2 linked regions of the Arabidopsis thaliana genome follow. The protein of the gene in region 2 interacts with the protein of the main gene of each other region in a biochemical or structural test. Each region holds a gene or a part of one and is shown on either strand. Other genes may lie near its edges.

Region 1 (3,927 bases), on a different chromosome or scaffold from region 2:
TCACATCGGGTTTCTCATTTTCACCTCTAAGAGGCAGACTGTTTTGAGATGAGGGTCTTTCACCTACCAAGTACAAAAGCCATTAGCTTTAAATAGTTGTAAACATTAAAAGCATACAATTATTTGCGTTGTGTTATTTTTCAGGAAGAAATACCAGTGCTTGGTGATCTTTGTTGCCTTCTTTTCCTCCTAGATTGTTCTCCCTGTGGTAATAAAAAAAGAAGAATATGAATAAAGATCGCAAAAGATAAATCTAAACCTAGTTCAGAGCAGAGAGGACGAGTCCATACCCCAGTTGTATTACCATCACTACCATTGCTAGAGCCATCATTCTCGGAGCTAGTTGATATCAAAACCACGTTAGATTCTATATATCTAAGTATCTATTGAATAAGAAAGAGTTGAGGCTAGTTTGACAAACCTCTGAGAACTCCTATGTTCACTGCTGCTATGTTCAGCACTCCCAACTTTGTTATTGCTTATTGACATTGCAAGTCCATCGAACTCTTTCAGCTTTTTCATGAACCCATGATCTGAGTTTCCAGCTGAATTAGCTGGTGCATCAATGGTCAAAGGGGTTGTAACCTGCAAACATTCTCATACATTCATATCCAATATCCATCATACTGCACATTTCACACAGAAACATCACAAGACAATTGACTTACTCCAGATGCTGATTGAGAAACAGGACCTTGTGGTTGTGAGCCCTGGTAAAGTAAAGTAGGAAAACACAAATCAGTAAATCTGGTCTTTTCAACTATTTGTTGATATAAAGTAACCACTAAAAGGAAGGGAGGATTACCATTTGAACACCAGGATGAGCATAAACTCCACCAGGAGGGCAAAATGGTGGATATGGTGCTCCATAAGGAGCCATCATTGGCTACAACAACAAAGAAAGATCAAACTCAATCCAAAGTAACAGATATACATTCAACAAGTTTAATATAAGTACCGATGGAGACGCCCACATATAAGGCGGTGGAGCATGACCAGGCGCCAAATTTGAGTTGTAATATTGAGGTATACCAACTCTAGGCCCATAATATGCCTACAAATATCATGAGAAACAAGCTAAAATCACTCAGGCTAATAAAACACAATTCACACAGCAGAAACAAAACAAGGTCAAAGAAAAATCACCTGCATAGCAGCCCAGTCATGATGATACACATGAACATTACTCTGCTCCTGTATATATACAAAGTAAAACAACAACAACAATCAAACTTTGACTAAACACAAATCTGTTACTAAACCAATCAGTTTCCATTGATTCCATTACTTACAGGAGCAGCAGCTTGCGATGGCTTATCAGAGTTGTTAGTGGGGTTTCCTTCTTCGTTGCTACCCATTGCTCAATGCAGAGTAATGACACAGTAACTTTATAAACAAAAAAATGATCAGATCTTTTAGCAGTTCCTCTGTAAAGCATAAATCTAAAAGAACAGTATTCAATTACACCTAGATCTCGCAATTGTGGACATCAAACTATAAATATAACAGAGATCCGAGTAACTATAAAGTATAGCACCACTGAATCTACCAGTAAAAGATTCAAAGTCGAGTTTTTTCCTCTGTCAAAAGTTCAAAACTATCACCAACTAGTAGAGTTACACAATTCAATCTACCTTTAACTTTCCTAGTAATTTTCTTCACTCAATACACACTTTCTCGAGAAAACAGAGCGTTCATATATAATCACTCAGATATTCATTGAAGAAAATAACGAAAACCAAAATCCAAAAACGTACCTTGAGTCTCAGGGAAAACAATTCGAATTGAACCCACAAAAGAAAAAAAAACAAATTCGCTTCTCTCTCTTAGTCGGAGAGAATGGTTTCTCTCTCTAGAACCAGAGTTCGGTAAAAGAAGAGAGAGGAAGGAGAAGAGAAGAAAAAGAAGAGAGACACAACGGAGCGCCAAGAGGCTGATGAACACGTCACCGTACACGTGTCATGATCTTGAAGGGTTTGCAAAGGGAACGCATATGCTGAGCTGGCAACCCTAGATCTGCGCTGGACATTTTAAATATCTGACTTAAATAATGATTGGTACACGTAGTCATAATCGCCACCGTTCATCTTGAGATCTCTACGTAGACTTGACGTGCTGCTGATTTTATTCCTTTTAAATAATGAAAATACAGAATTAAACTATAATGTATAATTCATTTGAGATCCACAGATGACGAAACGTGGACTACCAAATCAAGCATATTTGTTTTTACCATTTAATCGACGGCTAATATTGATTTCATCTACGGTAAAATATATCTTTTTTTAACCAGAAAAAGGTTAGAGTGGTCCCCACTGTAGGATCTACTGACTTGTGTCGGCCGTTAGTGGTTTTATAAAGCTGACGTGTCCCACTGAATAAGGAATACCGTTGTGGTCCCTACGGACAACGTGGGATTCGACGCCAGCTCATTTTTTAATTTTTTCTTGAAATCTTTTTTAAAATTTTAGACGATGACTCAATCTTCGCCACGTAGGATCCACCCAATAAAAAAGGGTTAACAAAATCTTATCTTTAATGCTAAATTAGTTGAGATTAATCCATGTTGTTTAAATCCGAAATGATGCATATAATCTTGTTTCTTATAATCATTAAGATTTAGACTGAAGATCTAATTCCAATTTAAGAGAGTCACTAAAAAAAGAATGAATTCAATTTCAGACAAATCCGACAAGGTCAAGGTGACGTGTTCTTGATGCCAATTCTAGTGGGAGCCACTTGACGCGTGCAGTTAGACTCCCGGTCCAAGACATAAATTTACGTTAATACCCTCCTTTATTGGGTTATTATTGGGCCGTAGTTGAATTATTAGACCCAACCTTTTTATCCTGTTCTTGATTGGCACATACTTTGCAAAAAGTTAACAAAATAACTTTTATTGCAAGGCATTACAAGAGAAATGTCAAATTTGGTTGTTGCATACATGACATCTTATTCATATCCAATCCATAAATTGATGTGTTGTTATTCAAACTGGTCTTTTGATGTATTGTTAGACATATCTCATATATATTGAACCCTTGGAATCAATATAATAGATTGGGCTTTATTTATCTTTTATTGGGCTTAAAGGGAATTGTTGGACTAAAAAAACCATTAAGGCTATAACACACTAATTACACGTACAATGAGAGTGAGAGTCACGGACGGGATGATTACAAGAATCATATAGCACCAAATATCTCATCCTCACTCTCACATACAAACACACATTTTGTTCACACAGAGATAGACATGGCTTCCGATATAAACAGAAGAAGATCGTTCTCTCTTCTAGTCTTGATTATTGTGATGCTTTATGGGCATAAAGGTGATTCAAAATGTGATTTCGAAGCAATTTTCAACTTCGGAGACTCGAATTCGGACACTGGCGGATTTTGGGCTGCTTTTCCTGCCCAATCTGGTCCATGGGGAATGACTTATTTCAAGAAACCAGCCGGTCGTGCTTCAGACGGTCGTCTTATCATTGATTTTCTAGGTAACAAATGACTAACAAATACTCTCAAAATTTTCAAAAAACGTATAATATGACAGCAGTATCAAATCCCCTCTACAAAGTATAATTTTTTGTATCCTTTAGTATTAAAATATTTTTTAAAAATATTTAAGATATACTTAGTAGTTCGAGCGTTCAGTTATCCATTCAGTTTCAGTTCGTATCTGTTTGGGTCTAATGTTTAATATCTATTCGCTTATTTTGAAATTTGGGTTTGGTTCCGGTTCTTTCGGTTTAAATATTTAGTATCCATTCGGTTATTTTGCTTTGAATATTTTCGGATATTTCGGTTCTTTTTGATTTTTTTTGGATATTTTCAAGTATTTTTACTATTTAGTCAAAAAATAACTAATATTTTTGAAAAGATAATTATATTTCGGATATTTTCGGTTACTCAAAATATTTTGGTT
Region 2 (3,684 bases):
AAGGTTTATTGTGACGGAGATGAAATCTTATCGGGATATGAATCAGATGAATCCTGTTGTAAGGAAACTTGTGTCAAATGTATCAAAGGTATGTTTGTTCTTACATTCTGGTTATCTTTCTAAGCGCTTCAGAAACCTTGGCTTGAAGTTAGTAGTGTGCAAAGTTCTAATCAAGAAATCACTTTTTTCTTTGAATTTCTTGTTTTACATCAAGGTCTTGGTGAGGAGAAAGTGACAGTGGTAGCTTACCCATCCGGGAACGATGTGTTCACTGCTCTTCTGTTGGCTTTACCTCCACAGACGTGGTCAGGTATCAAAGACCAGTCACTTTTGCAAGAAATGAAACAGCTCATTTCCATGGTTAGCCACCCGACTTTGCTTCAACAAGAGGTACATAACTAAGCCAACTCTTCACTTGGAGTCTGAGTTATATATCTTCTAATTCTTAGGATAAGAAACAGAAATGAAACTCAGTTATATAGTCTGAGGATTACCTTCTGAAGCTGACTCTTTTTTAAGGCTGAACTCCAGAATCCATTAGATGAGAAATATGTAGTAAAGTCAGCTAAGTTAAATCGTTTTCCTTTGGTGGGTTACAGGTTTTGCATCTACGACGCCAACTTGAGATGCTAAAACGATGCCAGGAGAATAAAGAAGACGAAGAACTCTCTGCTCCTGCCTAATCAAACACAACCAACCACTTTCTAATTTGAATCGACCAACAAAATTGTTAGGGAGAAAAAGAATTTATCCCATCTAGTCTGGTCCATAGATATCTTATAAATCAGCAAAAAGCTATGTATTATCCATTACATCCCTTAGATACATTACAGGTAACTAAGTACTAACCATATCACCATCACTTTACTATATAGATTATAATATAGTAATCAAGCCCATATGTTTTTATTTTTTTTACATACAAAAGTTTTTTTTACCACACTTCACCATTCCAAGGAATGGCTCCTGCTTAAGGGCCTCGACGGTGGCCTTGGTTTCTCATCGACCGGAATCAGAACCTCCATGAGCTTCTTGTATCTCTCTTTAGTGCTCTCTTCAATCTCCTTCAAAAGCTGCTCATTCTCCTCCTCTAACTTGGCAGCCAAAGTCTCTAACTCAACCTGATAAGCCTGTTTCCTCTCTCGAGACCTAGCAGCGGATTCACGGTTCTTGATCATCCTCTTCTGTCTCTGAGCTGCAGCTTTATCCATTGCCTCCATCATCACTCTCCCTCTCTTTCCTCTCGTTACTCCTCCACCCATTGATCCTTCAACCATCTGGAACGAACTGTGTCGCTGCATCGGAAAATCAAATGTATAGCTACCGTCGTTGTTGAGTCTCTCCGTTGGAATCTTCACATCGATTTCATCTGAAGCTCCCTCGTCCATTTCTGCTTTCGCTAAGAAATCCTCAAGTGTCATTATATCTTCTGGTTCTTCTTCCTTCATCATGATCGTCTTTTGCTCTCCAGATACAATCTCTTTCCAAACATCGTCAACACTCTTTCCGTTGTTAACGCTGTTCCGATCTCCGATACTCCGATCAACATCAATCGCCATCTCGAAGGGCTTTGAATCAGACGCGAAAGTGTAATCGTTGACTCCTCCGCCGTAAGCGAAACTGATTCTGGAGTGATCGGCGTGAGGATTTGGTCGGAGATGGTGCGATGATCTTATAGAAGGGGAAGATGAAGCAGAAGAAGAATTACGGCGAGACAAGTCGGAATTGGAAGAAGACATCAACTTGAAGGACGCCATTTCCGGAGCTCACTGGAATTGGAACGAATTTTTATCTATCTGGGTTTTGTCAAAGAGAAAGAACAATCGGAAATGGTGGATTTTCTTCGAACCAGAGATCGAGAGAGATCTTTCTAGGGTTATCTCTAGTGTTTTGCAATGTAACCACGCGCTTACTCTCTATATACAAGTTTAATTAACTAATCACGCGCACATTAAACGCGTGACTTGCACCTTCTATCAACTATACTATAAGGAGATGTTTTTTCTTTTCTTTTTAATTAAGAAAAAAGATTTACTATTCAGATTTCTTTCTCTTTTTTTTTTTATGAAAAAGATATCAGTGCAACTAAAGAGATTTACAATTCAGATTTCTTTCTGAAAATATATTCGTGTGACAGTAAAGACTAAAAGAGTTTAACAATTCAGATTTATGAGTACATTCTGAGTTGGACAATCCAACTGGTTATATGGACACTAGATGATGTAGAGGGAGAGAGGGCCCAACTTGATATAATCTTTATAATGAAACCAAAACAAAATTGCAAAAATTTCATGAATTTGGCTGAGACTCTTTTGGAAATGATGATGAAAGCGTCTGGTAACAACCAACAGTGACCTCCAATCTCTGATCATGGATCTCTCTCCAGGGAAAACCTCAAATCATAAGTCTCCTTATTTGGTTGGTTTCTGTAGTCAAGATCGGCTTTCGACTCAATAAATCACAGAATTTTATAAGCATTTGCATTTCCTATACACAAGCAGTGTGAACTTACCACTATGGACTAAAATGGAGGTTCGAGTGGTTCATCCCAGACATCTGCACTCCCATTTGAGACTTCATCTACATCTTCCTCCATTGACAATCTCGCATACTCTCTCTGAGCAAATCGATCCCACTCTGTCAAATTTGGATCTTCCCGTTCCTACAGCAATGAAAGAGAATTATACTTGTTCTAATTGCCTCAATCCGAACTACTACAAACTGCCTTTAGCAGTTAAAAGAAGTCATATTCTTTGTTATTTTTTTCCCTCTTGAGTGCTATAAAAACTCCACTGGTAAGCCAAACTTACCTGGCGAATGAGAAATGGGTCACGTGTTTCAAATGCCATGAACTTATTAAGGTTGAAGAGTATATTGAAAACGTTTGCTGAAAGTTTCGATCCTTTCAGATCCTGGAGGGTGATACAGTTCTCCTTCTGCAAGGACATCCACCATATAGATGATTCCAGTCAAATAAATGATAAATAACAAAAAAGCTCGGAAAAATCAAACAACCATGTTCTGGTTTGTAAAGTAACTAACCTCGGGTCCAATCATGTCAATTATTTGACATAGGATATCACTGAAAAGAACAGCTTCCTGGGTTATGCATTCCATGCGATGCAGCTGCTCTTCGAAGAAAAACTGCATTTCGTTTGAAGTGATTACCCCATTTCCATCCAAGTCTACGCATTTGAACCTGCACGGAAAATTTCAATCAGTGTCAAGTAAAATACACGGACTTGCAAAAATATTGAGTTTTGACATCCATAATAGATAGATGAGCATACTAGGCTATAAACTAGTATCAGATTGTTAGATTGTTAGTGCCCGAGTATAAACAAGGATCCTATGTTCATGAAAAAATGGTACCATACAATGATTACTAAATATATCTGAGGAAGAGGACTTGTTACAAGTAACAAGTCCTCAAGTCACTGGTTTTGACTCCGTTGTAGTATATATATCAAGATCTTGTGATCTAAACCAAGGGGCAACATTCATTAAGGAAAACCAATATCAACACGGAGGGGGAGATGTGTACCAATACTCAAGACTAGGCTCGGAAGACTTGTCTTCCTCAGCGAGAATGAAGTACACAAAATCTTCATAACTCATCTTCCCTTCAACTTTACTCGTAAACTTCCTTGGAATCTAAAAGAGAAACATAGCCACAAGACGCAT

The links.
Region 1: the proteins of GBF4 (region 2) and GBF2 form a complex in vitro, tested with the Arabidopsis thaliana proteins (one study listed by BioGRID).

Annotation. Positions count from the first base shown.
Region 1 is NC_003075.7:482,613-486,539, forward strand, and holds the start of GBF2 (G-box binding factor 2), read right to left. Parts: upstream 1,913-3,927; 5' UTR 1,758-1,912; intron 1,387-1,757; 5' UTR 1,359-1,386; coding exon 1,293-1,358; intron 1,195-1,292; coding exon 1,147-1,194; intron 1,055-1,146; coding exon 959-1,054; intron 887-958; coding exon 806-886; intron 711-805; coding exon 669-710; intron 586-668; coding exon 422-585; intron 340-421; coding exon 291-339; intron 204-290; coding exon 155-203; intron 64-154; coding exon 1-63. Other genes in the region: AT4G01130 (GDSL-like Lipase/Acylhydrolase superfamily protein), read left to right, coding at 3,256-3,499. UniProt on the Arabidopsis thaliana protein: Binds to the G-box motif (5'-CCACGTGG-3') of the rbcS-1A gene promoter. G-box and G-box-like motifs are cis-acting elements defined in promoters of certain plant genes which are regulated by such diverse stimuli as light-induction or hormone control.
Region 2 is NC_003070.9:1,016,310-1,019,993, reverse strand, and holds GBF4 (G-box binding factor 4), read right to left. Parts: upstream 1,895-3,684; 5' UTR 1,758-1,894; coding exon 945-1,757; 3' UTR 747-944; downstream 1-746. Other genes in the region: PCS2 (phytochelatin synthase 2), read left to right, coding at 1-88, 215-390, 600-683; AT1G03960 (Calcium-binding EF hand family protein), read right to left, coding at 2,522-2,662, 2,811-2,936, 3,043-3,199, 3,545-3,654. UniProt on the Arabidopsis thaliana protein: Binds to the G-box motif (5'-CCACGTGG-3') of the rbcS-1A gene promoter. G-box and G-box-like motifs are cis-acting elements defined in promoters of certain plant genes which are regulated by such diverse stimuli as light-induction or hormone control.